Rattus norvegicus: one gene and its partners. The protein of the gene in region 1 purifies or fractionates together with the protein of each later gene. This does not show direct contact. Links are inferred from orthologs where the notes say so. Each region holds a gene or a part of one and is shown in the gene's direction. Other genes may lie near its edges.

Region 1 (4,209 bases):
AGAACGGTTCACTTTCCTTATTCTAGGGGACCCATCTCCTCTATTGTAGCAGAGGTGGGTATTCTCAACTGAAATTCGTTGGCTTCTAGAGAACGCACTAGCATAGGATGTGTTCGTGCTCTCCTGTAATTGGAAAGAGCTTTTGGAACTGAGAGGTACTTCTCCAAGCTTTCCTCTACCGCTCCCCCATAGCCGGCAGCCCCACATAGGAATCTATGTACTTTGCATGGCACAGAACACGACTTTCTCACGCCTCCATCCATCCCTCTGTTCTTCTGTGCTATTCCGTTTGCCGGCTATGGGCTTACCCTGGCTCCTGTGCTGTGCAACTCCTACTCACCCTCAGCACTCGGCGGCACATCACCTTCTTTGTTAAGTCTTTTATGCAGTGGGCAGAGGAACAGAGCCAGCCTTTCTCCATCTTTTTGGCTTCCTCAGCATTCCCCCAAAGTACTATGTGTAAGTGTTATAGTTTGTGTGTGTGTGTGTGTGTGTGTGTGTGTGTGTCTGCACGAGGGTGTGTGCAGGTGAATGCCGGTGCCATCAGAGGCCAGAGGCACTAAATCTCCTGGAGCTGGGGTTACAGACAGTTGTGAACCATGGGATGTGGGTGCTGGGAACTGAAATCAGGTCCTCTGGAAGAGCAGCAAGCGTTTTTGTTTTGTTTTTTTGTTTTTTGTTTTGTTTTTGACCTCTGAGAGGTCTCTCCAGCCCAAGACATTACTTGTTTACTCTTCTGGTGCTTCTCTCGATTGATTGAATCGCTTAAGGGCCAGGATCTCTGCTCGTCGTTTCATCTTCTTTACCCAGCACAGTGTTTACCTACAGTAGGTATGTAGTTCACTCGGTGAACGGACTAATCAAACAGTTCATCAAACACTGCAGGTTGTACGAACCAGATTCCCAAACATTTCTAGATCTGGTCCTCTATTTGGGTCGAACCATCCTGAGATCTGCCGCCCCTCGACCCCTCCTCGAGGCCTCTTTGCTTTGCTTCGATAGAAAGAACGCTATTCGAGTGTGGAAAGCGCTATTCCGCTAGAGCAGAGCTGTAATTCACTTGCTCCGGCACGCAGAGGGTTACAACGGCCCAGGGGCGGAGCCGAGTCCCTGCCACCTGCTGCGGGGCGAGCTGACGCATGCGCGAAGTCCCCCTTAGGCTACCTGCCGGGCGGAGCGGAGGAGGAGCGCTTGCGCTCTGGGCCTTTTCCGCCGGGGAAAGTCTCGCGGGGGCGGGGCGCGGCGGGGCGGGGCCGCGTGGGGAAGTTCTCGCGGGACCCTGGCGAGGAGCGGAAGCTAGGCTGCTCTGCTGCTTCTGCGATCGGGCGGCGGCGGGGCGAGCCAAGCTGCGGCGGGGGACGGCGGTCTGGGCAGCGGGCGCCGCAGTCAGGGAGCAGCAGTGAGGTTGGCGGCCGCGGGCGGCAGCACAAGGCGGGCCAGGCCGGGTGAGGGAGCGGACGGCACGTCGCGGTGAGTGCAGGAGAGCGGGCGGGAAGTGAGCGGGGGCTCCGTCGTCCCCGCGCCGCGCCGGGCAGCTCGGGCCCGGTCTGCTCCGGGCTGCCGGGGCGGGCCGCTCGCGGGTCGGGGAAGGCTCGGACCGGAGCGCAGCGGCTGCGCAGCCGTCTCCTCGTTTCCCCTTTTGGGGCGCTTCCTTCCTGGTGTCGGTCTTCCTCCCGCTCGGGGCAGAGACCGGGCGAGCCGACGATTGAGGTCCGGTGTGGCGGCCGTCCGGCTGGGCGCAGAGGAGCCCGGAGCAGCCGAGAGGCACAGGGTGCTGCTCTGAGTCAGGCTGACTGAGCCCGGGAGGCGGGGGATTCGGTGCCGGCTGCTAACGTGGTGATTGATGCTCCTTTGACCTGCAAGGCAACCACGTCACCGTCTCTTGGCATCTTGCGGTCGAATTGTGTGCGGGAATCCACCATGACTTAGAATGATTGTTACCCGGACCCACCGACTGGTCTTTGCGAGAGTTGGGAGCTTCTTTTGTAGAAGTACTTGAGAAAAAAAAATACTTGTTGTGGGGGGAAAAACAGCAGCAGCTGATGGGAATGCTGGCAGGAAGGATTTTCGCGGAGAGAGCCCCGCTGGTTCATGTCCGTTTGCAACGCTCTAGGTTGTGTGGGTTTGTAAGAAAGTGATTTTTAGGGTGTCTTCAAAAGCTATATAGCAGTGCAGTTTGCCGGGAAGCCGAGGCGCGTTCAACGTCCGTCTTTTGATGGTGTTGACATTCAAAAAGAGGCTAGAGAAATTGGCTTTCTTTTGACTTCTTCGCCTCTCTTTCACTTTGCCCTGCAGTTTTTGTCCTTTCAGTCTCTATTCCACTCCACTAGGGACACGAAGTACATTTTTTTAAAAAATTTATTTATTCTATGTATATGAGTATACTGTAGTTTTCTTCAGACACACCAGATCCCATTACAGATGGTTGTGAGCCATCATGTGGTTGTCGGGATTTGAACTCAGGACTTCTGGAAGAGCAGTCAGTGCTCTTAACCGCTGAGGCATCTTTCCAGCCCCACGAAGTACATTTGTAACGCCAGTCATTGGCGCCTCCACCCCCTTTAGAAAATAATCTACTTCCCCTTCTTGTTCTTCCTCCGCTATAATTTTCGAAGTTTCTGCCGGTTTGAGCACTGTTAATTTTCTCAGTCGTTCTAAGATCCCCTTTTTGGGGGGGGTAGATACCTTCCCTTGTTTGCATTTCTTTTTTTTTTTTTTTTTTTTTTTTGGTTCTTTTTTTCGGAGCTGGGGACCGAACCCAGGGCCTTGCGCTTCCTAGGTAAGGGCTCTACCACTGAGCTAAATCCCCAGCCCCGTTTGCATTTCTTTTAGACTGTCCTCTGTATTCTTCAGCCAGCCAGAAGGGCTACTAAGGAGCCATCGGGGTGCTTGAGGGGGTTTAAGTTCTCCCCCTGGGAACTAGAAAACCCAAAGGACTGAATTCATTGCTAAGTAATCGATAGTGCCATCAGATCACAAGTGGATTTGCCTGTTCGCTTGTGCTATTTGTATTTTGGTGTTTTCTTCACAAGGTATCCTTTTGTGCCTACTATTTTCCTTCTTTCTCTCTCCTGTTTCTCTTCTCTGTTAGTAAGGAAGATTTTGAGCCAGTTTGGAAGCTGAAAGACTCCCCCCCTCCCTTTTTTTTTTTTCGGAGCTGGGGACCGAACCCAGGGCCTTGTGCTTGCTAGGCAAGCGCTCTACCACTGAGCTAAATCCCCAACCCCGAGGTCAACTATTGTTAAATGAGAAATCATCCGTGGAGTTTGTGAAGTAAGATAGCTTGAAATAGAAGAGAACTTTGGATATTTGTGAATTAAGTCCACCTTCCTCTCCTGACTAATGATATAGTCCTAACCAGGCTTTTTAAAATGATTTTTAATTTTGTATGTGCTTGAGTGAGTTTTGCCTGCATGTATGTATGGAAACCGTGTGCATGCCTGGTGCTGTCAGAGGCTAAAGGAGGACAAATACCTTGAACAGGAGTTACAGAGGGTTGTGAGCAGCCATATATATATGTGTGTTAGGAATTGAACCCAGGTCCTCTGGAAGAGGAGTCGGTGTTCTTTAACAGCCTGAGTTGCTATTCTCTCTAGTCCAATAGTTTTAAGCACTACTCACTGGTACTGAGGGTTTTTTCCATGATTTCTGTTATGTCGCATGTATACAGCAGCCCTTATGGAGAATTATGAATTAGGAGACAGCAAGACAGAGCTGCCACTCCCGGACAGGCATTTGGTGTCGTTACCTGCTGACCTCAGAGGCCTACACCTTTGGCCACGGTTATTGAGATTTATTCTTCTGTGTTTGTCAGAGTTGATTTTCCCGAGTTGTGCCAAGTCTAACATACATCATTTTCATTTTGTTCAGACGTAGTGCACTGAAATGCAAATTTTAAAATTTGCTTAGTGCTTCCTCATTTTAGCCTTGATTCTTAAAATTTGTATGTATAGACATAACCTGCCAATTAAGGAAGGGCTGGAGAGATGGCTCAGTGGTTAAGAGCACCGACTGCTCTTACAGAGGTCCTGAGTTCAATTCCCAGTAACCACATGGTGGCTCATGACCATCTGTAATGGGATCTAATGTCCTCCTCTGATGTGTCTGAGGACAGCTACAGTGTACTCATATATAATAAATAAATAAATAAATCTTAAAAAAGAAACCTGCCAATTAAAATTTTTTTATCCAAAAAAATTTTTTTGAGAC
Region 2 (2,770 bases), on another chromosome or scaffold:
GACAGGTACATTCATAGCACTCAGTAACATTTTGGAACGAGTGAAAGCCGAGGGACTCCTAGATGTGTTTCAAGCTGTGAAGAGCTTAAGACTTCAGAGACCACACATGGTGCAAACCCTGGTAAGAATCTGATCAGTCTGATGTTCCAGAAGAGTCGAGAATTGTTTCATGTGTTTGATGTTAGTTTCATTAAAAGGAGCGGCAGTGTAAAGGAGGGCTTGGGGGGGTGTCTTGTCCCAGAGTGCCTGACCCAGCTGCAGTCTTTCACAGTAAAGCCCTCCCAGGTCTTAAGGGGAGTCTTCCCAGCAGACTTGAGAGGAGGAGCTCATGCACAAATTGTATTTCCATTTAAAAACACAGTTACAGAGTTCAAAAGCAGCCCTGAAGTTCAAAGCCTGGGTGCTTGTTACTTTCCATGTTTTACTGTAGCCTTTGGTCTGTTTGCCTCTAGAAGGTCTCCTTCAACCTCAGGCCCCTCCAAGGGTCTTGTCTGGGGGTGGGGGGGTCTCTTAACATCCAATTGCTCTACATTTTCTCTTTCATTAGCCAGTGCACACTTCTGGTTAGAGGGAGTCTGCACTGAATTCCAAAACGTTTCATGTAGAAGGGGCAAGTGCAGTCTTACAGGCTGAATCCATCATTTCCCAGAGCCTCCTAATGAGGACCTCTCTCCCTCCTGCTCGTTCTCTACAGGCTCTTGACAGGCGGCTTGACCCATGTGCAAAGACGGGGGTGGGGTGGGGAGCTGTGGCGGTGACAATGGAAAGGCTCCACATGAACCTAAGACATTTAGTCTTGCAAATCCTAATGGCATCTATATTAATATAAAAGCATGTGATTTTCACTGCTTAACAGATATAAATTAGGCAGTGTGAGCTTTATGACTTCTTCGGTGGTAGAACTATGGGAGTTTCTTTTCTCCACTTCAGAAATAGTTTTCATTCAGGTGTGGCAGCACATGCCTATAATCTCAACAGTTGGGAGGTAGAGGCAGGAAGATCAAGAGTTTGAGGTCATCCTAGGCTGTAGTAGGAATTCAGGCTAGGATGAGCAACATGAAACTCTCCTAAAACAACAAACATTTCTCTCACACACATTTCCTGGCCTTAGGAGATAGCTCTATTGATAAAATACTTGCTTTGCAAGCATAAAGACGTGAGTTTCATTCCCACAGACCCACCCCTCCACATGCACACACAGTAACCACCCCTCCTCATGCACACACAGTAACCACCCCTCCTCATGCACACACAGTCACCACCCCTCCACATGCACACACAGTAACCACCCCTCCACATGTACACACAGTAAACACACACAGTAACCACCCCTCAACACGCACACACAGTAATCACCCCTCTACATAACATACACGATAATGGACCCGATAGCTTGAACTTGTGTTCCCATACCTGGGAGGTAGAGACAGGCTTCCTGGGGTTCACGGGCAGCCAACCTAACCTACTTGGCAGTTTCTGAGCCAATTTCTGAGTTTCTGAGAAATGCTGTCTCAGAAAACCAGGCCGATGGTGCCTGAGGAAGAACACCTGAGGTTAACCTTATTAGCCACGTGTAAGCTAACACATTTGTACCAGCACACATGCCAACACACATACACACAAAAGACTTTCCAATGTCAATATGAAAAGCAGAGTTGTTTTCCTAAGGCCATCCGGAAAATACACTAGGGTGAACCTGAAGATTAACGTGTTCCGCATGGAAAGCTCGGTTTAGAGCATGACTCATGCCTAAAAGGCACATGTAAGAGAAACTGATGTGTGTGCGGGAGCCCCAGACTTTGATGCATCAACAGACTGACTGGCAACTGGCCTTCTACTGCATCTTCTGATTATACACATCAAGTATGTGTGAAGCCGCTTCATTTCAATATACTATTAATACTCTCTGTTCTCTTTTCAGGAGCAATATGAATTCTGCTACAAAGTGGTACAAGATTTTATCGATATATTTTCTGATTATGCTAATTTCAAATGAAGATCCCTGCCTTAAAATATTTTTTAATTTAATGGTCAGTATATTTTGTAAAAAAAAATCATGTTAATTTATTTCCTAGTGGATATTAATATCCGTCCTGATTCCTTTGTATATATTTTGTTATGTTCTAAAGGCTACCTGCTGTAAGATTATTAAATCATAAATGTCCTTTTTAAAAATTGGAATAACATGTTAAGGTCAAATGCTATCTGGGAAGACATATATTTCTCCTAATACCAGTCAGTATCTTAGTTCTATTAGATTCATGTCATGTGTCATGTGGTGTCACACATCATGTATCATGTATCCACATGCCATGTGGTGTCACATGTCATGCATCTGTAAATGTAGTTCTTAACATGTCAAATGTGTTTGTGGAAAGACACTAAACCTGAAACCCCTTGTGGAGAAAACGGTTGAAGACTCAGAGTCTGATCACATTTATTCTCCCCATGCAGGGCATCAGGGTGTGGCAGACAGTGGACATGGGGGCTTTGGTAAAGTCCTAGGTCTCAGCCATGTGGTCCACCCTTACATATGAAAGATCAGAGCAGGAACCAAGCACTGCAACGCATAGCTGAAGTACTTGAAGGGGCTGAGGCAGAAGGATTGTGTTCAGGCCAGGCCAGCCCAGGCTACAGTGAGACTCTATCAGAAACAAAAACAAAAACAGAAACATAACAAACAAAAAACCAGAAGATTTTGTAACCCAAATCCAGGTCTCAGATGTATAAGGGTAGATGGTGACTTCCCCGTGAGTTTTAAAAGGCATTT
Region 3 (3,500 bases), on another chromosome or scaffold:
GGGCTGCGTCACTATCTTACCAAGGAAGGACAGCTGATAAGGTCCCTGTGGCTTCCGAGATCCTCATGTGCTCCTGGGCCTCAGAGTGACCATGAGCCCTGGTGACCATGTCTGTCTCAGGAGGCCTGGGTAGGATGTGAGGCCCATGCCCCTCTGCCCGCACTTCCTTTATTGCTGACCCTCTCAGGGACTCAGCCAAAAGCTTTGGTTGGATTCCACTGCACTCGGAACAGGCTGGCAGGTCCCTGGGTAGTCACTGCAGCGTTTCACTGCTGCTCCGGACGAACCCAGAGGAGAAGCTAGCGGGGTGTTCTGTTTTCTTTCCCACAGGTGGTCACTGCCAAACCCGGAGTACTACACGCTCCGCTATGCAGATGGGCCCCAGCTCTATGTCACCGAGCAGGCGAGTACAGGGTGGCCAAGGGCAGGCCACGCTTTGCTTGCAAGTGACCTGCCAAGGAGGTGGCACAGCCTAGCTTCTTACTGTGCGGGTGGCTCCAACTCCCTGTTTAAAGAGCTGCCCTTTAGGCAGCGTGGAGCACCAGCTGGCTCCATGGTGGCTGAGGTGGCTTTTGCTTCAAGACCCAGAGCTCTTGAGGAAAATCTTAGAATCTCTTTGTAGAAAGCAAGTAGGAGGAGGCCTAGCTGCAGAAGAACCTCAGTGTCCCTCGGTATCCATGGAGAGTGGTCCCCAGATACCAAAGTCTCAGGAGGTACACATGGCACAGTAGCTGCCTGTCACCTAGGCACATCCCCTGCACATTAAATTCCCCTCTAGATGCAGAATGTGCCTCATGCAGTGGGTGGGCCATGTCTGTACCTGCTGTCCAGCACTGCTTAGGGGGCCAGACAAGAACAACAGCCCGTAACGTTCAAAGCAAACCCTGCAAAGCCTGCCGATGGGTTCATTGCTAGCTGATCACCTGCAGATGAGGAGAGTCAATTATGCTGTGAAAATGGCCACCAGTCCTTACTGAATCACCTCCATGTACTATTTTAATATTGTCTTTTTGTCTTGTTCTGTTTTATTCTTTGCCATCCAGACCCGAAGCGACATTAAAAATGGGACAATCTTACAACTGGCCATCTCCCCGGTAGGTATTCCAGTCTTCCTGACACACACGAGTTCTTATGGTGGGAAGGACTCTGCTCTACGGGTTTGAGACTAGAGATTGTGAAGAAACCCCTCTTCCTCACAGCCTGGCTGGCGGCTCATGAGCAAGGGCAGCAGACAGCCTCCTGGTGTGTAGGAAGTCTGAGAGGGGCCACCTCCTCCAGCAGAGCAGTTTCCAGAAAGCTCTCCCAGAGATAGGCACCCTGATCTTAGAGGCTGGGAATAACTGAGAGAAGAAGAAATGTGTTTCCTAGTGTAGAAACCAGAGCTGAGAGGTGTGGCAGGGGAAACCAGTTCTGAAGGCACTGGCATGGCTGCCTATGGGCTCAGACTTTACAAGAAAAAAAAAGGGAATCCCTGAGGAACATTCCCTGTGCATCCTGTGGAGTGTTAGCAAGGCCACATTCAGAGGCAGGTAAGAGAGACTGGTGGGAGAGTGATCTCTCAGATTGGTATGGGTGACGTCCAGCAAAGGCAGTGGGATGGCAGGGTTGACAGACACCAGAAAGACTTGGTGAATGTGTCAGTGCTGGGGGTGGGGGCAGAGGGAAAGTTGGGAATCCCCTCAAAGGTAAGCAAAGGAAGCAGCCGCAGCCTGAAAGGGAGTGAGAAGCAGGAGGCTGGGCAGTAGAGCAGGCCTGAGATCCCAGCATTTGGGAGGCAGAGGCAGGAGGATCATGAATTAAAGTCCTCAGCTGGAGACTGGTCAAAGCTAATGTAAGCTCAAGAGACCACATCTAAAGACAACAGGGGTTGGGTGGAGTGGGGATAGTGGTGAGGAAAGGTGCTAAGCCACTCAGGCAGAGCAGGGTAGAGGAAGGAGAGGCCCGCAGTGCAGTGAGTGCAGAGGGTGGAGTGAGAGCAGGAGTACAGGCCACTGCGGTGCCACAGCCCGGCTTCCCACAGCAAGTGAGAGCCAGCAGTCTTGAGTGAAAGTTAAGGGCACAGTGGAGAAGCTTACGTCTGCTACTGTTTCAGGTAGCAAGAAGAGGACAGGAACATGGGAGATGTGGGATCCAAAAGATGTTTGAAAAACAGGCGAAGCATGTTAATGAGTTTCAAAACTTGTGAAATTGGGCAGGAAGTGGACGGTCCTGGAGTCCTTATGTCCTACTCTCCAGCCTGAGGCCCTTTCTTTCTCCTGCAGTTTTTCATGTGTCGCATGGATGAGCTCAGATGGGAGAGAGGGTGAAGGTGCAGGAAAGGGGTAAGGGTTCAGTGCATCAGGGCAGGGAGGCAGGCCCAAGGCCGACAAAGGGCTCAGTCTCTGTCACAGTTGTAGGAGATTAAGGCCATGTTTTCTTGTTGAGGGAAGGACCCACTTGTCTGGAGAGGAGATGTGTAGAGGAGTGCCAGCCAGCACTTACCTCGAGTTTTGCTAACTCTTCCTGACTGCATCAGTTCAAGCGAGAGGGAGACAAGGAGACTGAGGACTAAGGTTGAGTATAGCCATGCACAGCCACTGGAAAGGCCGCTCTGGAGGGAGATTTACATTTGGGCTGCAAGTTTCTAAGCTCCATACAGACCAGTGCTCACAGATTGTCTCATGGGTGACCTTTCCTTAGGCACACCCTTCCTCCACTGTGGGATTAGGGCGACCTGTGTGTTGCCAGAGGACCATGCAGTTATGGGCCCCTCTTTGTAATAGAGAGGCCAACCCCACTCCCTGCCCTCCAGTCACTTCCTGACAGTAGGCAGACAGGCAGGCCTGGGGCACTCTGCTTCTCCTGCTTCTTTCCTGAGAGAACATTCCATTCAGAGCAGGGCATGATGAAACAGTGAACTGGAGTCTGACTGTGTGGTAGTAAGCTCAGCACGGGAGTGACAGTGGACACTGCTGCAGGCTTTGCTAGGCTGCAGGAGTCAGGTGCCCTGCTGGGGAAGGCCCGTGCAGGGAGGCATCTGTCCTCAGCAGCCATCGTGTCCAGGAAGCTATTCATAATCACGGCCTCCAGCTCCTTTGTCCTTCATGATTGCCCAGCACGATTCTTTTGGGGAAGGGTGATGTAGAACATTGAAAGGTTTGTCAGGGTTATCACACTTTAGAACTAAAAGGGTCCTTCAGGGTCATCAGATTAAATTCTAGGGCAGGACCCTCGGCGTCTGACAGATCTGCTTCTGAGGACTTGCAGTTAGGAGATACCCTTTCTTTATTTTCTTGGTAGGAATTAAAAAGAAAAATCCGTAGAACAAGATAGCTTGGGGTGGGGGAGGTAAGACACTTGTCCCCAAGCCTGATAACCTGAACTTTATCCCCTGGACCTACATGGGGAAAGGAGAGACCTGACTCTATCAGATTAATTAATGCTCTGATCATCACACTTAGGGTATAGCATGCACATGTATGCACACACACAAAATAAATATAATTCTTAAAATAAAATAA
Region 4 (3,500 bases), on another chromosome or scaffold:
TTTCCATTGGAGAGGACCAAACAAATGTCACAGGCACTGCAGGGTCTAGATATGGTTTCTAAGTACCAAGAAGCAGGGTTCATCCAATGGCTGGTTCCAGGACTGGGCCTGGACTCCAGAGCCAACCTCTTCCACCCTCCTGAGGATGCTTGCTTTTCCCTTCGTCTCAGACATAGGCACGATGCTGGAGAGAGTTGGACCTGGGGGAAAATGATCTTTCCCAGTAGGAAGAGAGGGTCCGTAAAATCTCCCACCAAAACAGAGGAGGGAGAGTGGGGGCTTCTACCTGGGCACACAGAGCAAGGAACCTGGAGAGAGAAGATCAGATTCCCAGACTGACCCATGGAAGAAGAAAGGAAACGAAGCAGGAAACCAGGGCAACACGACGCCACTGTGGCTAGACTCTGGTCTTTCCGCCATGTTTTTTATTTTTCTTAAGCAACTGTATTTTCAGTATCAAATTTTTTCATTACATGGAAGAAAAGACTAAAACGAGTAGACAGAACTTTGGAGAAAGTTTTGCTTGCAAGTTTTGTATCCATTTTTTTTTCATCTGCAGTTTGCTGTCAGTCAGGGGTGGTGAACACCTTTCAAAATATGACTGCAGAAAAGAGCTTACAGCATGGCTCCTGTCTGAGGCTCCACTTTCTCTCTGACTGGGAGAAAGGGCTGTGTGCTCTCAGGAGTGTGATTAGCCAACTAACCCCTCCCCTACTCTGCTCCGCTCATTGGGGATGTGTGGAGGGGCAGTGGAGCTGGACACATCCAGGCCTGTGAGCCAAGAACCTGCTCTCCTCACTAACTGAGCTGTTCTCAGAGCGACCAGGGTGGAGGCACATCATGAGCTCCACCCAGTCAAGTGTGGACTTCGTACTTCTTATCTTTAGCCTGGGACTGTCTACTCCAATGCAGAGGCTGCCTCTCTTCCTGTGGTGGGCGGGCTCTGGTCAGTGGGAGGGCAGTGAGCAGTCCAATGGAGGTGCTCTAACTCTTCATGGGATGGTTGCCTGAACCCTTGGAGGTCACAAAAGGAAAGGAGGCTGCCTTCCGGTTGGAATGTCCTTTCTCTTCCATGTTCAAGCCTTGCACGGCAGGCAAACCCAGATGTACCCAATGTCATGAATGAAGTCCAGGAGTGCTGCAGGGTAGCAGACCTTTGTATGTGGTTACTTTTGTGTCACTGTCAACAAAATAACTGAGCTGACAGAAACAACTCAATGGTGGATGACTGATCTGGACTCTCTGTGTCCAGACCCTGCCATCTTGGCTCCCCCACACTTGGGAGGAACATCATGGTTCTCCTTTACTTCTGGGAAGACAAGCTGCAGAGAGAGGAAACGAGAAAGACAAACAGAGAAGGTGGGGAGGGAGACTGGGCTCCTGGTATAACCACTGATATAACCACCAGTGTTCCATCTGCTCCAGCTAGCCCCACCCCCCCCCAACGTTCCCAGAGCCTCCCAAAATAGTGCCTACATCTGGGAACCACGTCTTTAAAACATGAACCCGTGACACGAAGGGTCCTTCCTACTTGTATGACTACACCTGTTCCAAGGCCATCCCACTGGCCTGGGGAAGGAGGTGCCCCTGGCTCTCTGCAACTGACCCCATGTTGTTGCCAACCACAGGAATTACACGGTGGTCAACACCGAGAAGGGCCTTCTGGAAGTACAGAGGATGACCTGTCCTGGGATGAAGCTGAGCTGTCAGCTCAAGGTCCAGAGCTCAGTGTGGCTAGCCACCGAGGTAACTGCCAGCCTGCAGGGCCCGTGTCAGGGTGAGCATTAGAGGGGTACAGTTCCCAGGGGTACCAGCTTTGTAAAACTGCAAGATGTCAAGGTCAACTGGACAGAGCTCATCCCTAAAACAATGTCATCGGTCCTGAGAGGTAGGTCACCAGGGGAATTGCTGCTGGCTCCTGCTTGCCACCAGCTGGAAGCTAGGATTCAGGGTAGTTAGAATAGGTAGGGAGTCTCAGCAGGAGAAACTGGGTGAGTTGATGGCATGCCACACCGTGTTTCCTCATGATACTGTGTGGGACACGGAGCATAGCTCATCCCTGAGGATCTTCTGTCTCCATACGCGGAAGTCATTGGAAGACCTAAGTAGCTGTCTTATGAGAAATCCAAATGTTGCCCCAAATCAGATGCTCCAGGGTTATGAGTAGGGAAGGAACATCATAATCCTTCTTCGTGACTGTTTATAAGTATTTGGACCTCCCCAAAACCCATAGATACCCATGGAACTAAAGTGTCAGGAACTGAGTCTGATTTAGGAGAACACACAGACCTCTGAGAATGCCTATCCCAATGTAATTCTTTGTAGCAACAACAAATTGACTAAATATGTTTAAAGATGATGGACAGAAGAGGAGACCCCATATACGTCCTAGAGGGGGTGCAGGGCTCTGCCCGTGGCATGTTCTCACTGTATTGTGGCCCCACTTTGCTAGTGGCTGGTTCGTGCATGGCAAAAGCAAGCTTCTGTCTCCAACTCCTTAGGATCCTCTATGAGTTAACTTTCTTCCAGACTGTATTTTCCAAACAAAAAGCAGAAATGGATTAGCAAGCAAAACCCTGCCTTTTTAAGGTACCAAAGGGGATCCCCAGGCTGAGAGCATCCTAACAGGACACCGTGCCAGTCACTTCCTTATCTGGTTCTCAGAGTGACTTTGTCTGCTCTTGCAGGACCAGAAAATCTATATCTACAGCCTTAAGGGTATGTGCCCATTAAGCATGCCCCAGCAGGCCCTGGACACGCCGGCTGTTGTCACCTGTTTCTTGGCAGTACCTGTTATTAAAAAGGTAAGGTATGGAGAGAGGCATGTTCAGGTCTGTCACCAAGTACGGGAGGGTCTCCTTGCTGGGGACAGTGGATAGAGCTGGGGACTTTCTGGGTCACCTTGCCCAGGTCACAGCCAGCTTTAGAGACAAAGGTGGCCACCATTAACATGGAGTGCCTACCATCCATGAGCACTGGCTTAGAGGAGGCTCATACTGGTGCAGATGATGAAGTAAGCCATTGTAAATGGCACCTTCTCCTGATAAAGGTATCGGGAGCCTCTCCCCTGCCCTGGCCACTGTGTTTTCTGATTAATGGACACAGCTGATTCCCTTTTGTCTGTCTCTGCCTCCTCTCAAAGACTTGCTTCCCAGACCCCAGTCCTTTGCCCAGCTTTGCCCAGCACTGCCCTGCAGACCCACTCCTCACCCCATCCACCCTGTGCTCTCCCCAGCCCCAGCTCCATATCTTAGCACGGAATCTCTTCTCGCTAGGGCTGACAAAGCCATCACTTGACTGGCCCTGGTCCTTCTCCTCCAAACAGTAGACACAGGAGCCTCCCCTTCCCTTCTGGTGAAAGGTCAGGCTGCAGAGCGATGACCTCTCCTCTGAGGGGTTGGCTGGCACTGCTCGCTCTCCTAAGTTCTGCTTCCTTCCCTGGATCTAGTAAGGCCACAGGGGCCTGTGGGTGCAATGGGTGCCTTCCACCCATACACACA
Region 5 (3,500 bases), on another chromosome or scaffold:
CACAGCACCATCAAGGACTGTTCAGGATGCAGGACCCAAAAAACGCCACTCAGCACCTCAGCATTCTCAGCTCACCCTTTCCCATCCTGCTCTGCAGATGTTTTCCCCAACTTGACTTCCTTCTCGGGGAACAACCCGGTGGCCCAGTTCATAGGAACTAATCCATGACAAAGAGACTTGTGGACAGCTGGTACCACATCACATTTGGAAAGCTCTGGAAAACCAATTTGCCATGTAGCACATTAGAACAGATTTTTCTGAGAGTCAATGGGATCTTTTCTTTCCTTCAGGAAGTCAAGGGGCAGTAGTAGTTTTCCACACGCCCATTACCTGAGAATGAGGGTGTTTTAATGAATACTCAGAATGGATGAATAAACGTTGCTGTAAAGGGGGGCTGCTGTGTCTTCTCAGAAGAGCAGGTTCATCCATCACAAAGCTCTTTTCACTAACTTCAGACACACCAAATTTTGGGGGAAATTATCTTTGGTCCCCATCTGTAGCACAAGACTCCTATAGACTTTAAGCCATCTAGACATCCACTTCATCCATCAAGACTCCTGCCTTCTCTTACACCCCCAATAGATCACCCTCTTCTTTCCTTTTAACCAATTATCTCTTTCTCGGTGTTCAACTGCCTATGAATACACTGCTGGCATTCCTGGGTTGTGTCTCCTCAGGAACCGTGCCCATATCCAGCTAGCTGCATGAACAAGAAACCTGAAAGACACTATTAAAAACCTGCTGGATATCCTAGCAATATCTAATGTATGCTTATTATTAGACATGTATCCTAAATGGGACAAAGAATTGGATCTCTGAGGTGGCTAAGTAGGTTAAAAACTCTTACCATACAACCTGAATGATCTGTAGAACCCACATTAAAAAAAAAAGCCAGGTGTGGTGGCTCATAGCTGCAATCCCAGCAGTCCTACAGCAAGATGAGAGGCAGAGGCAGAAACAGGAGAATCTCTTCAAAGCCTGTGAATGCCGGACAGCAGTAGAAATAGCAAGGGAGACACTGCCTCAATAATAGGTGGAAGGGGAAGACTGACTCCAGAGAAATTATCCTCTGGCCCACAAACTCATGCTGTGGCATATACATGTATGTGTGTGCACACTTATAAAAAAAGGTATTTTTTACAAAAGCATGCACATCAGAGACACCTTGATGTGTAGTGAGAGGTGGACTGAGAGAGCAGTCAAGACTTACGTGGAATCAGCAGGCCATTACCAGCAGACCGTTGTATATTTACATTAGTCCTTGTGTGTTAAATCATGGAACTTTAACTTTGAAGTGAGTTTCTCTCAGCAGCACTCACAGTAGGCTTGTCGTGTTTTAGGGGATGTTCGAAATGATATTTATGTCACCCTGATCCATGGGGAGTTTGATAAGGGGAAGAAGAAGACACCCAAGAATGTGGAGGTGACCATGTCTGTGTTTGATGAGGAAGGCAACCTTTTAGAGGTATGTAGCACTCCCCACAAATCTCATCGCGTCGCACCTGCTCTGTGGTAGCAGCCAAACGCTGGTCCAACTTATTGTCAATTCTCCCCATATGGGGAGGGTCCTTCTTTATCTGGGTTTTTGTTCTTACTTTTATTAGTTTCTGTTTTGTAAGAAAGGGTGTCATTAGGTAGCTGAGGCTGCCTCAAACCTGTGATCCCTCTGCCTCCGGGTGTTGGGATGACAGGCGTGTACCAACATGTTCAATACTTTCTCTTAAGGAAAAAATATATAAAAACTAATAAACCCGTGATTCTCAGTGGCTATTTTTACTCCGGGAGCTACTTAGATATATTTTGATATTTTTCTCTGTGCAGAGAGATATCATGGGCCACTTAAACTTTAGGACCTTTGACATTTTCAAGTGGTATGGCTAATCTCAGCTTGAGCACCATGCAGAGGTGTCCCAAAGGCCTTGACAGGCACACTGCCATCACCTGGGCCAGTGGAGCCCATGGACACCGACTTATCTGAAGGAATACTGTGACACTAAAGGCACCCTTGGTGTAGGATGGCAATGCTGATTTCCAGTGTTAGTCATTGGGAACTTGTACCCAGAGTAGAGTTCTTTCCTCTGGAATTGCAGATGTCAGAGACAGAGTCGAAGAGTTTCTCTGCCTCTGGCAGCTTTCTGGACATCTTGGTTTTGACTTGAGAGAGTTGGGAGGCACCGGGTGGCCACCAGAAGCCTCTGTCACCTCCATCTAATTGCTCTAGATGTACAAGTGAAAGTCTTGGCTCCTGAAGCTCTCTAGATGTCCTGAAGTAATGCTCTCCAAATGTTCGGTCCTTGTTGTCCATAATTCAACCATTATGTTTCTTTAAAAGCAGAAAACTGTACACATTCAGTAAAAACCCTGAAATTCATGGTATGCAGGACTTGGGGCTGAAGGGACCCATGTGGCATTTGTTAACATTAAGTGGCATGACTGCTGGCTAGGAACAGCATACACCTGCTGCCACAGTGTCATCTCGCAGTATAGTGTGGATGGCTGCTGGTAGACTTCTCAAACTCATCATCATCAAAGCCCCTGACTTTGGGTTAATTTTTGGATGATATACATTCAGAGACCTTGTTCTGTTGCCATGTTTTTCATATACTAGATGACCTAGTATCATCTCCTAATTGTGTCTTTCCAATCAAAGAAAGCCATTCATCCTGGAGCTGGGTACGAAGGCGTCTCAGAGTACAAGTCCGTGGTGTATTATCAAGTCAAGCAACCTTGTTGGTACGAGACAGTCAAGGTGAGAATTCTAACTCCTTCAGCTATTGACCCTTGTTTAGATTCCTGTCCGCTTTTTAAACCCCAAGTCAGTCTTCAGATATCTGAAAGTTTCAGATTGTCTGCAGAAAGAAATAAACCGGGGATGGACTGGAATGGGGAATATAATCAAAATGCATCGTGTGAGATTCTCAAAGAACTAATTTTTTTCAAAAGCTGAATCAGCAGTTAGGAGGTCGTTAGAGCATCCATTTTATGAAGCCCAAGATTCTGACAGAGTATTCTTATTCACAAACGTATAGCGACTGGACAAGAAAAACTTGTGGCTATAATAAGGCAGGGGCTGCCAAGATGCTGCAGACAAGCTAAGATGTGCGCACTCCATCATCGGCTTCCCAACATGTTGTTCTTGTTGGCCCCTGTCCAAGTGTTCTGGGCCTCTTCGCTGTAAGGAAGGGTTTCATGAATTGCAGAATGCTTTCAGATCCTGAATCCCCTGTGGGCTCACAGTGGCCTTGAAACTGGACAGTCGGGTATTACTCTGACCTCTTTTTGAAGAGGCAGCAGACCCTAGGAAGAGAAGTGACACCTCAAATCTTGGAGCACCTTGGGGTCAACCTAAAACAGGTCACATCTGAAGTCTGGGCTGCTGTAGCGCCTACTGTCAGCATTGGCAGGGTCCTATGAGTTGTAAGCAGAAAATTCCAGAAACTGAACATTGTCCAAATATCTGTTAGGTAGCGGTTATTTTTCACATCCCTCTGTAGTCTGTG
Region 6 (4,087 bases), on another chromosome or scaffold:
GTACCTTGGTTAGTGGCTTTGAACAGGATGCTTTGATAACCACAGTGCTTAGGATAGTGCAATGAAATATTCTTCTGGTCTGATTGCCAGATTGTCATAGAAGGGGTCAGAGAGCAGGATGAAATTGATGACACGTGACCATAGAACTGCAGTTAGAGGTATCTTCAAAGGATTAGGCTAGACTCAGTAAGGAGAGCACGGGAAAACAAGCATTGGGCAAATTACATATTGAAGGAAAATATACGGAAACAAGGCAAGCCCAGGATGCTGGTGTTGGTTAAACTCTCAGTTTTGATCTACTTAACACAAATTTATTGAAATAGTGAGGCCTCCTCAATGACCGAGGAGAAGTGTAAAGTTGTGAGCATGGGGGCTGTCCCTGTGGTGTACCACACCTATAACTGCAGTTCTAAGGACCCTTGTTTCTCTTTAGGAGAGAGGCCAGAGATTGTGTCTCCCCAAGTAACAGCAATGGCAAACAACTGAACGGTGCTTACTCAGTACAGTAGCGTTTTACTTCCTTCGCCTGTAAGATAAGAATGACATTATCACAGAATCCACAAACTTTGGGATGGAAGGACAGTGCAAATGACTCGCTCAAGGACATACAGCCTATCAGTGCCAGAACACAGCCTGGCTCCCTGAAACTGGAGCTCTCATTTGTAACTCCTCAGCTCCTTTCTCCCCGCACCACCCTTGCCTCTGGTCAAACAAGGTTCTTCCCGAACTCTAACTTTGTTCCGGTCAGTCTCCACTCCTTGTCAACAAGATCAGAGAGTACAGGAAGGAAAGGAGCCGTACCTTCAGTGACAAGATGGGTATCTTGTGAGTTACTACATATTAACCCTAGCAAAGGCGTACTTATCAGTGCAACAGCTAATCTTCTTTGTGAAAGCCTTTATTACACGTAGGGGTTAAGGTCATTTTAGGAGCATTTACTCTGAGCAGTCAGAGAAGGAACAGCGGGCTATTGTAGATACAAATACACTTTCGTAAAACACAAAAAACAAACAAACAAAAACCCCCACCCCCCATTTTATGACGTAAAGATCTAAACAATTTCAGATAATTTACTTCTGGAAATCCTCCCACCCACCACGTGGTCACTCAAGTTCGCTCCTTTTCCATAGCCGCCACAAGGGGGCAGTTGCGGCCGCACAGTCGGCGCACACACGGCTGCTCGGCCATCCCTTGCTCTTGTCTGGCACGCGGATCTCGGCAATGGATTAGCTCCTCTGGGGACGTGGGAGGCCCGGGCCCCGCCCCCGGCCGGCGGTGGCCCCAAGCTGCAGTCGCTGCGGTGAGCAGAGCGGATCTGCACGGAGGCTACGAGCGGAACGGGGAGCAGACCGTGCGTTGCCCTCAAGGCTCGCTCCCTTCGGCGCTCAGGGGCGCGGGTACTGACCGCGGGGCCCTCGGACCGGCCCGGGCTCGGGGCGCCAGGCTCGAGACCATGGCGCTACGCGCCCGGGCGCTCTACGACTTTAGGTCCGAGAACCCCGGTGAGATCTCCCTGCGGGAGCACGAGGTGTTGAGCTTGTGCAGCGAGCAGGACATCGAGGGCTGGCTTGAAGGGATCAACAGCCGCGGCGACCGCGGCCTCTTCCCGGCTTCGTACGTGCAGGTTATCCGTGCGCCGGAGCCTGGCCCTCCGGCCGACGGCGGCCCAGGAGCTCCGGCCCGCTACGCCAACGTGCCGCCCGGCGGCTTCGAGCCTCTGCCAGCCGCGCCGCCCGCTGCCTTCCAGCCGCTGCTGCAGCCGCAGGCGTCGCCCGGTTCCTTCCAGTCGCCGGGCGCCGGCTTTACCTACGGCGGGGGCGCCCCGCAGCCGTCGCCCCAGCAGCTCTACGGTGCTTACCAGGCCAGCCTAGGCAGCGACGATGACTGGGACGACGAGTGGGACGACAGCTCCACAGTGGCAGACGAGCCAGGCGCGTTGGGCAGCGGTGCGTACCCGGACCTCGACGGTTCGTCCTCAGCGGGCGGCGGCGCGGCCGGCCGCTACCGCTTGTCCACACGCTCGGACCTGTCGCTGGGCTCCCGTGGCGTCTCAGCGCCCCCGCCGCATCAAGCGTCTGGAGCCAAGAGCTCCGCCACGGTGAGCCGCAACCTCAATCGGTTCTCCACCTTCGTCAAGTCGGGCGGGGAGGCGTTCGTGCTGGGAGAGGCGTCAGGCTTCGTGAAGGATGGGGACAAGCTGTGCGTGGTGCTGGGTCCCTACGGCCCCGAGTGGCAGGAGAACCCCTACCCCTTCCAGTGCACCATCGACGATCCCACCAAGCAGACCAAGTTCAAGGGTATGAAGAGCTACATCTCTTACAAGCTGGTGCCCACGCATACCCAGGTGCCCGTGCACAGGCGCTATAAGCACTTCGACTGGCTGTATGCGCGCCTGGCGGAGAAATTCCCGGTCATCTCGGTGCCCCATCTGCCCGAGAAGCAGGCCACCGGGCGCTTCGAGGAGGACTTCATCTCCAAGCGCAGGAAGGGTCTGATCTGGTGGATGAACCACATGGCCAGTCACCCAGTGCTGGCCCAGTGCGACGTCTTCCAGCATTTCCTGACCTGCCCCAGCAGCACTGATGAGAAGGCCTGGAAACAGGGTAAGCGGAAGGCTGAGAAGGATGAGATGGTGGGCGCCAACTTCTTCCTCACTCTGAGCACACCACCTGCGGCCGCCCTGGACCTGCAGGAGGTGGAAAGCAAGATCGATGGCTTCAAATGCTTCACCAAGAAGATGGATGACAGCGCGTTGCAGCTCAACCACACTGCCAACGAGTTTGCGCGCAAGCAGGTGACTGGCTTCAAGAAGGAGTATCAGAAGGTGGGCCAGTCCTTTCGGGGCCTCAGCCAAGCCTTTGAGCTGGATCAGCAGGCCTTCTCCGTGGGTCTGAATCAGGCCATTGCCTTCACCGGAGACGCCTATGATGCCATCGGTGAACTCTTCGCTGAGCAGCCCAGGCAGGACCTGGACCCAGTCATGGACCTGTTAGCACTGTATCAGGGGCACCTGGCCAACTTCCCAGACATCATCCATGTTCAGAAAGGTAAAGCCTGTGGGGCAGGTGGCACGGGGTCAGAAGGTGGTGACTTTAATAGGCGTACCACTCTCTGGTTTCAGGCTCCTGGTCGTTCTCCCTGTCTGGGGACCCTTAGGGTTGTGACTGTTGGGACTTTCCTTACCGAGTTTTCAGTGGGTTGTTGGATTTCCTTCTAGTCAGGGGCTGACACACTCTTCAGAGTGCTAGTTTGTCAGACCGCGTTGTTATTTCAGAGTTTGAATAGGCAGGGAAATCAGCTGCTTTGATCTGTAAGCTCGTGGACTGGGGCAGAATTAGTAGGGGACCCACGCCAGGCTAGGCATCTCTTTGAACGCTGCAGTGCCGGCAGATAGGAGGGACAATAGGAAGAATGGATGGATGACTGGGAATAAAGGTAAGTCAGGCCTTCCCTCAGTCCCTGCTGTGGCAGGGGAGTTGGGCCAGCCCTGTTCACAATGCTGGGGCAGCACCGGAACTTCCTGTGTCAGCTTGCAAACCGGCCTAAAGGCCCAACCTTCAGGATCTCCGACCTCCTTTGGCTGGGTTTGGAGTTTATTAACCAGCTGACATTTGGACTGTTCTTTAGGAAAATGATGTGGGAGACTAGTTGGGGCGAAGTAGGAATGTTGTGTCTGAGAGCGGTGAATTCGCTGTCCCAGTGTTAAGAGTGCTTTTTAGTTTGGTGTGTTACTGGCTTTTGTTAAAGCCCTGACTTTGCAAATGATTTTTTTTTTTTTTTTTTGGTAAACTACAGCAGTCATGCCTGACTGACCTGAGGTTACTCGCTAGCTGGCTTTCTGATATAATGGCTCCATTGACTGAGAGAGAGATGGGAGGTGTTGCAAGAACACGACCTTGCCTCTGGAGGACCAGTGTGGGGGAGGTGGCAGTTACCTACTGTAGCATCCTGGGCTGGTGGAAAGCTGCGTGGATAACCAGATTTGGCCTTGGGAGGGGGTGACCTGCTGCTCTCTTCCTGGCCATGTGGGACAAAGCATTTGTGAGCCACCTGATCTTTGGCTTTTGCTTTCTTGTGTTCAACCGAG
Region 7 (4,182 bases), on another chromosome or scaffold:
TGGGTGTGTCTTTAAGAGATTATTTAGATTAGGTTAGTTAAGGTGCCACTATTCCACATGTTGGGATTTCTGACTGCATAGGAAGGACAAAGGCAGCCGATGACCAGCATTTGTTTCTCTCTGCCTTCTGACTACAGATGCAATATGGACAGCCTCCACCCACTTCTGCCATAGACTTTCTTGCCACCAGCTCCTGGAAAATAGTTGCCTAGAGAAATATTTCCTCAGAGTCAGTGCACAGAGGGTTTGCTGCAGCAGTGGTCCAAAGTTTCCATTCCAAACTGGCAGCAAAACATGGCACTATACCTCATGTGGTACTGGTTTTGCAGGCATGAAAATTGCAAGATTGACTTAGTCATGAGGTCATGTACCACATCATGTAGGGATGCATGTAGGGAATGTGAGGCAGGGTGTCCCTTCACTATTGTCCTAGAGGGGCAATAGTGTGAAGGTGATGCCTAAGTTACAGGAAAGACCCCAGGATGCTGGAGATGTAACCTATTTTCCTATGCAGGCTCTAGCCTTTATGTTACTTAGAGCCATTGGACAATCATCAGATGGAGGATGTTCGAGACCAGTAAGTACTGTACACTAAATCCCGAGAGGTGTCAGTATTCAAAATGCACAGGAAAGAGGGAAGGAGGTGAAGAAGCATGGCCATTTATCTCTGTGTCTCCATCACCGAACGCAGAATCTTCTCTGTGCTAAGTTTAACGGATCGAGTGCAGACTGCATGTTATTGCCAATCTCTTTGTCCTGTCCAGGAGCTAAAAGGACAGCTAGCTCAGGCAAGGAATCCCAAAAGCCAGAATAAGTATGGCAGACTACAGGAAGTTCAAGGAACTACACTTTAGCTTACAGAAGGAGGAGTGGGACCGGCTAGTAATGGGAGTATTTTAGTAAAGGTCAGATAACCCAGTTCTCCAATGGAGGTTTTGGAGTCAGGGTGAAAGGCGAAATTTCCTTTTGGGAAATGTATTCTGGTGCGTACAACGATGGCAGTGGTGCATGGTGAAGCTGATGTCAACGTGCTGTTAACTGATGGTAGACGGTAGTGCTTTCCGCTGGGCTTCGTCTGTGTGGTGTAGCTCCTTCAAAAGGGACAGAGTCCCTGTTGGGTGTGATTTTGGCTATTCCTTGACCAAGTGCAGTACTCTGCCCTTTAGCCTGGGCGGTGGCATCTGGCCAAGCTGGGAGGCAGTGCATATGCGCCCCCCTAAGCCAGTAGGCTTGGAAACTCTAGGGAGGAGCAGGCGAGGGGCGTGGTGTGGGCGTGACCGTCTCAGGCCCAGGCCACGCCTCCTTCGCCTTTCTCGGCTGCGCAAGCGCGCTGTGGGCTGTGAGCTGTCAGGAGCCTAGCAGCGGGTGGCAGGGATCGGACGACGGTGCCGGGACTCAGCGGTGTGAGCCCCGCGCATCAACAAACCGGACAAGTGCTGCGAGGCCCGGGCTGCCTGCCAGGTCGCTGAGTCGCGCAGGGACCTGTGGGGCAGTTGGCCGCACAGGCAAGATGGGGAACCGGGAGATGGAAGAACTGATCCCTCTGGTGAACCGTCTGCAGGACGCTTTCTCGGCTCTGGGACAGAGCTGTCTGCTGGAGCTGCCACAGATCGCCGTGGTGGGCGGCCAGAGCGCCGGCAAGAGCTCAGTGCTCGAGAACTTCGTGGGCAGGTGAGCACACCAGGAGCGCGGTGGGGGCGCGTCCGTGGGGGAGCCCCGTGCTTCAGGCCGTTGGAACGGTGTGGGCAGCCGGAGGGTGGACTAGAGGCTGCAGCGGATTGGGGGCAGAGCAGAAGTGTCCCTGGAGCGGGCGGGGTCCTTCTTGCTCTGGACATCCTTCGTCCCTGCATTCTCTACCCGGTGGTGACCCCCTGTCTGCCTTTCATCCTGCCATACAAAGCCATTTCCTCCCCACCCTCGGTGGGGGAGTCGGGGTACGCCCTGGGATCCACTTCCCTCGCTGGCTTGGTGCGCGCCAGCCCCTGGCAGCCTGGAAGCGCAGCTCGGTGCTTTCCAGTCCCCAGCTCTCTTTCTCTGGCTCAACATCCCTTTCCTTTCCCTGTCACTCTCCCGGAGGCTCTCAGTTCGGCTGTGGGGATGTACCCCTCCTCCTTGGTCCCTCCTACCTCCCCATCCCCTGGCCCTGGCTCTCAGATCTTCTCAGCTGTCTACTGTTTGAGACAGTCATCGCCTGCCCTGAGCAGGGGAGGCGGGGTGTGTGAACCCAGAAATCCCTGTGGTGAAGGCTTATCCTGGGAAGCTCGCCTACCATTTGCCCTGGGAGCCGAAGAATAAACGGTGGTGTGTTTGAGTGTGCACCCATTTACTGCTCAGGCATGACCGGAAACCTGAGACCTCCAGGGGTGACCCATGGACTTGCGATGTTCGGGTGCCTGCACCATCATTCCTGCACCATCTCAGAACTGACCAGCATCTTTCTCGCACTCTCTCTACGCCCCCTCCCCCCAGCATCCCCTTGCGTTCCTTAAGCTCTTATTTATCCAGCAGGTCTTCAAGCTAACATCCAGAATCCAAATTGTAGTTATAGCTTCATGTCTCCCACTTAAAGGAAAAAAAAAAAAAAACAAAGAATTGTTATTGTTTTAAGTCTGGAATCAACGTTTTTCTTTTCAGTGAGCAATCCAGGAAGGATTAAGTTACCTTAATGGCCTTGAGTGAGGAGTGCATCATGAAAGCTGGAATCTGTTTCCCAGTAGTAAACCAGGTGGAAGGTGCAGCAATGGAAACGGTGGGCTGGAGGGGGCAATCCGAGATAGCACTTCATTCTTTATTTGGTTGGTGAGCAGCTTGTGATGCGGCGGGTTCTCGCTGCGGTTCTCCACCCCCTCCTCTCTTTTTGTTATTGCTTGGCAGAGTGTAAACTGTACCGCCGATCGGCTCATCCCCACAATTTTGGGTGTGAGCATTGTAAAGTGCGTTTTTCCTCTTTCTCAGAGGATGCTCCATCTCTCAGGAGATACTCTTCATTTTCCTCGCATCGGTGTGAACTAGAAAGATAAAACCGTGTAATTGCTGGCCATTGGCAGCCACCCTTGCGTAGTTAGTTCCCTTGATCATGTCTCCTTGGTTTTACAATTAATTTTGGCTCGGTAGGAAAGGAAATAGCAAAATATTTTGCATACGTCATCTCAGAGCTCTGGTCTCAGGCAAGAAGTTATTTAATGCTACTCATTCTTAAGGATTAGAATTATATTTCAAACGCAACAGCCATGTTTTTAAGCATCTTCCTTACAATTTACTTGGATGAGCACAGATTTGAGCACACTTTGTTCAGAGCCTTTGAATCCAATGTAAAGTGTATGCACGAATCGCAGCTCTGGCCTCCAGGTTTGCAAATCGGAACAATCTTCTTAATGGTATAGTGAAAGTGTGTACACTTCCTCTCATTAGGTATATTTTTCTGTAATGAGAATAAAATAGAGGCACAGGATTTAATTCTGAGCATTCTTCCATAATGAAAAAATAGGGACTATAAAAATCGGAGCACTTAATCAGAATGTGTTAGCAATTTCTCCTACTTTATAAAGTTTTACCAGTAAGGATGATAAGAAAATAATGGACATAGAAGAAGAATATACCCATTTAGTAAGCACATAAAACCTTTACTAGCTGCAGAGTAGCCCTGTCTAGCACAACTTAAATAGTACGGAGGAAACTTAATTAGAAGAAGGTCATTTGACTTCAATAAAGATTTCGGTCATTGAATGATTGAGGAATCTAATTTCTAATTATAACTCAACCTTTGGGGAAGGGAAAAAAATCCTTCATTTTCAGAAGTGAATCAGTCTAGGTTGAAAAAGAAAAGGTTTTTCGTGTTTCAGTGGAATCTTTTAACTTTTATTGAGCAGGAACTTTATACAATATAAAGTTCTTTAAAATGCAGTCTTTCGCCTCTGCTCATAGCCGCTCTCATGTTAAAGCTTGACCAATGGCATAGTGACCAGGTACAGTCGAGCACTGGGATCTTCACTTGTGTAAACTGTTGTGTTCACTTACTGATTTATTTACCACTTAACACTCCACCTTTAGTAGCTGACCACATCTTTCCATCAAAAGTAGTTTGCCTATATGGTTTCTTCTTTAAATACCATTGGATGTATCTGGATGAGAACGTGTTTATTTAACTAACTGTAAAACCAGTTTTCGGGTGACAAGTTTGTT

What was found.
Region 2: the proteins of Grb2 (region 1) and Ptpre purify together in Homo sapiens (affinity purification with mass spectrometry; 5 studies listed by BioGRID and IntAct, with this or other methods). This does not show direct contact. The link is inferred for Rattus norvegicus from reciprocal best matches to the Homo sapiens genes GRB2 and PTPRE.
Region 3: the proteins of Grb2 (region 1) and Elmo2 purify together in Homo sapiens (co-immunoprecipitation; 4 studies listed by BioGRID and IntAct, counting the BioPlex papers as one, with this or other methods). This does not show direct contact. The link is inferred for Rattus norvegicus from reciprocal best matches to the Homo sapiens genes GRB2 and ELMO2.
Region 4: the proteins of Grb2 (region 1) and Lrrk1 purify together in Homo sapiens (affinity purification with mass spectrometry; 4 studies listed by BioGRID and IntAct, with this or other methods). This does not show direct contact. The link is inferred for Rattus norvegicus from reciprocal best matches to the Homo sapiens genes GRB2 and LRRK1.
Region 5: the proteins of Grb2 (region 1) and Dock5 purify together in Homo sapiens (co-immunoprecipitation; 4 studies listed by BioGRID and IntAct, counting the BioPlex papers as one, with this or other methods). This does not show direct contact. The link is inferred for Rattus norvegicus from reciprocal best matches to the Homo sapiens genes GRB2 and DOCK5.
Region 6: the proteins of Grb2 (region 1) and Snx18 purify together in Homo sapiens (co-immunoprecipitation; 4 studies listed by BioGRID and IntAct, counting the BioPlex papers as one, with this or other methods). This does not show direct contact. The link is inferred for Rattus norvegicus from reciprocal best matches to the Homo sapiens genes GRB2 and SNX18.
Region 7: the proteins of Grb2 (region 1) and Dnm3 purify together in Homo sapiens (affinity purification with mass spectrometry; 5 studies listed by BioGRID and IntAct, counting the BioPlex papers as one, with this or other methods). This does not show direct contact. The link is inferred for Rattus norvegicus from reciprocal best matches to the Homo sapiens genes GRB2 and DNM3.

The regions. Positions count from the first base shown.
Region 1 is NC_086028.1:101,445,339-101,449,547, reverse strand, and holds the start of Grb2 (growth factor receptor-bound protein 2), read left to right. Parts: upstream 1-1,409; 5' UTR 1,410-1,470; intron 1,471-4,209. UniProt on the Homo sapiens protein: Non-enzymatic adapter protein that plays a pivotal role in precisely regulated signaling cascades from cell surface receptors to cellular responses, including signaling transduction and gene expression.
Region 2 is NC_086019.1:199,917,198-199,919,967, forward strand, and holds part of Ptpre (receptor-type tyrosine-protein phosphatase epsilon precursor), read left to right. Parts: coding exon 1-121; exon of another isoform or gene 122-123; intron 124-1,921; coding exon 1,922-1,996; 3' UTR 1,997-2,770. UniProt on the Homo sapiens protein: Isoform 1 plays a critical role in signaling transduction pathways and phosphoprotein network topology in red blood cells. May play a role in osteoclast formation and function.
Region 3 is NC_086021.1:174,466,960-174,470,459, reverse strand, and holds part of Elmo2 (engulfment and cell motility protein 2), read left to right. Parts: intron 1-330; coding exon 331-403; intron 404-1,043; coding exon 1,044-1,094; intron 1,095-3,500. UniProt on the Homo sapiens protein: Involved in cytoskeletal rearrangements required for phagocytosis of apoptotic cells and cell motility. Acts in association with DOCK1 and CRK. Was initially proposed to be required in complex with DOCK1 to activate Rac Rho small GTPases.
Region 4 is NC_086019.1:129,261,131-129,264,630, reverse strand, and holds part of Lrrk1 (leucine-rich repeat serine/threonine-protein kinase 1), read left to right. Parts: exon of another isoform or gene 1-1,628; coding exon 1,629-1,746; exon of another isoform or gene 1,747-1,771; intron 1,772-2,687; coding exon 2,688-2,804; intron 2,805-3,500.
Region 5 is NC_086033.1:46,222,543-46,226,042, reverse strand, and holds part of Dock5 (dedicator of cytokinesis protein 5), read left to right. Parts: intron 1-1,340; coding exon 1,341-1,465; intron 1,466-2,650; coding exon 2,651-2,749; intron 2,750-3,500. UniProt on the Homo sapiens protein: Guanine nucleotide exchange factor (GEF) for Rho and Rac. GEF proteins activate small GTPases by exchanging bound GDP for free GTP. Along with DOCK1, mediates CRK/CRKL regulation of epithelial and endothelial cell spreading and migration on type IV collagen.
Region 6 is NC_086020.1:46,988,717-46,992,803, reverse strand, and holds the start of Snx18 (sorting nexin-18), read left to right. Parts: upstream 1-1,287; 5' UTR 1,288-1,453; coding exon 1,454-3,047; intron 3,048-4,087.
Region 7 is NC_086031.1:77,368,547-77,372,728, reverse strand, and holds the start of Dnm3 (dynamin-3), read left to right. Parts: upstream 1-1,382; 5' UTR 1,383-1,510; coding exon 1,511-1,671; intron 1,672-4,182. UniProt on the Homo sapiens protein: Microtubule-associated force-producing protein involved in producing microtubule bundles and able to bind and hydrolyze GTP. Most probably involved in vesicular trafficking processes, in particular endocytosis.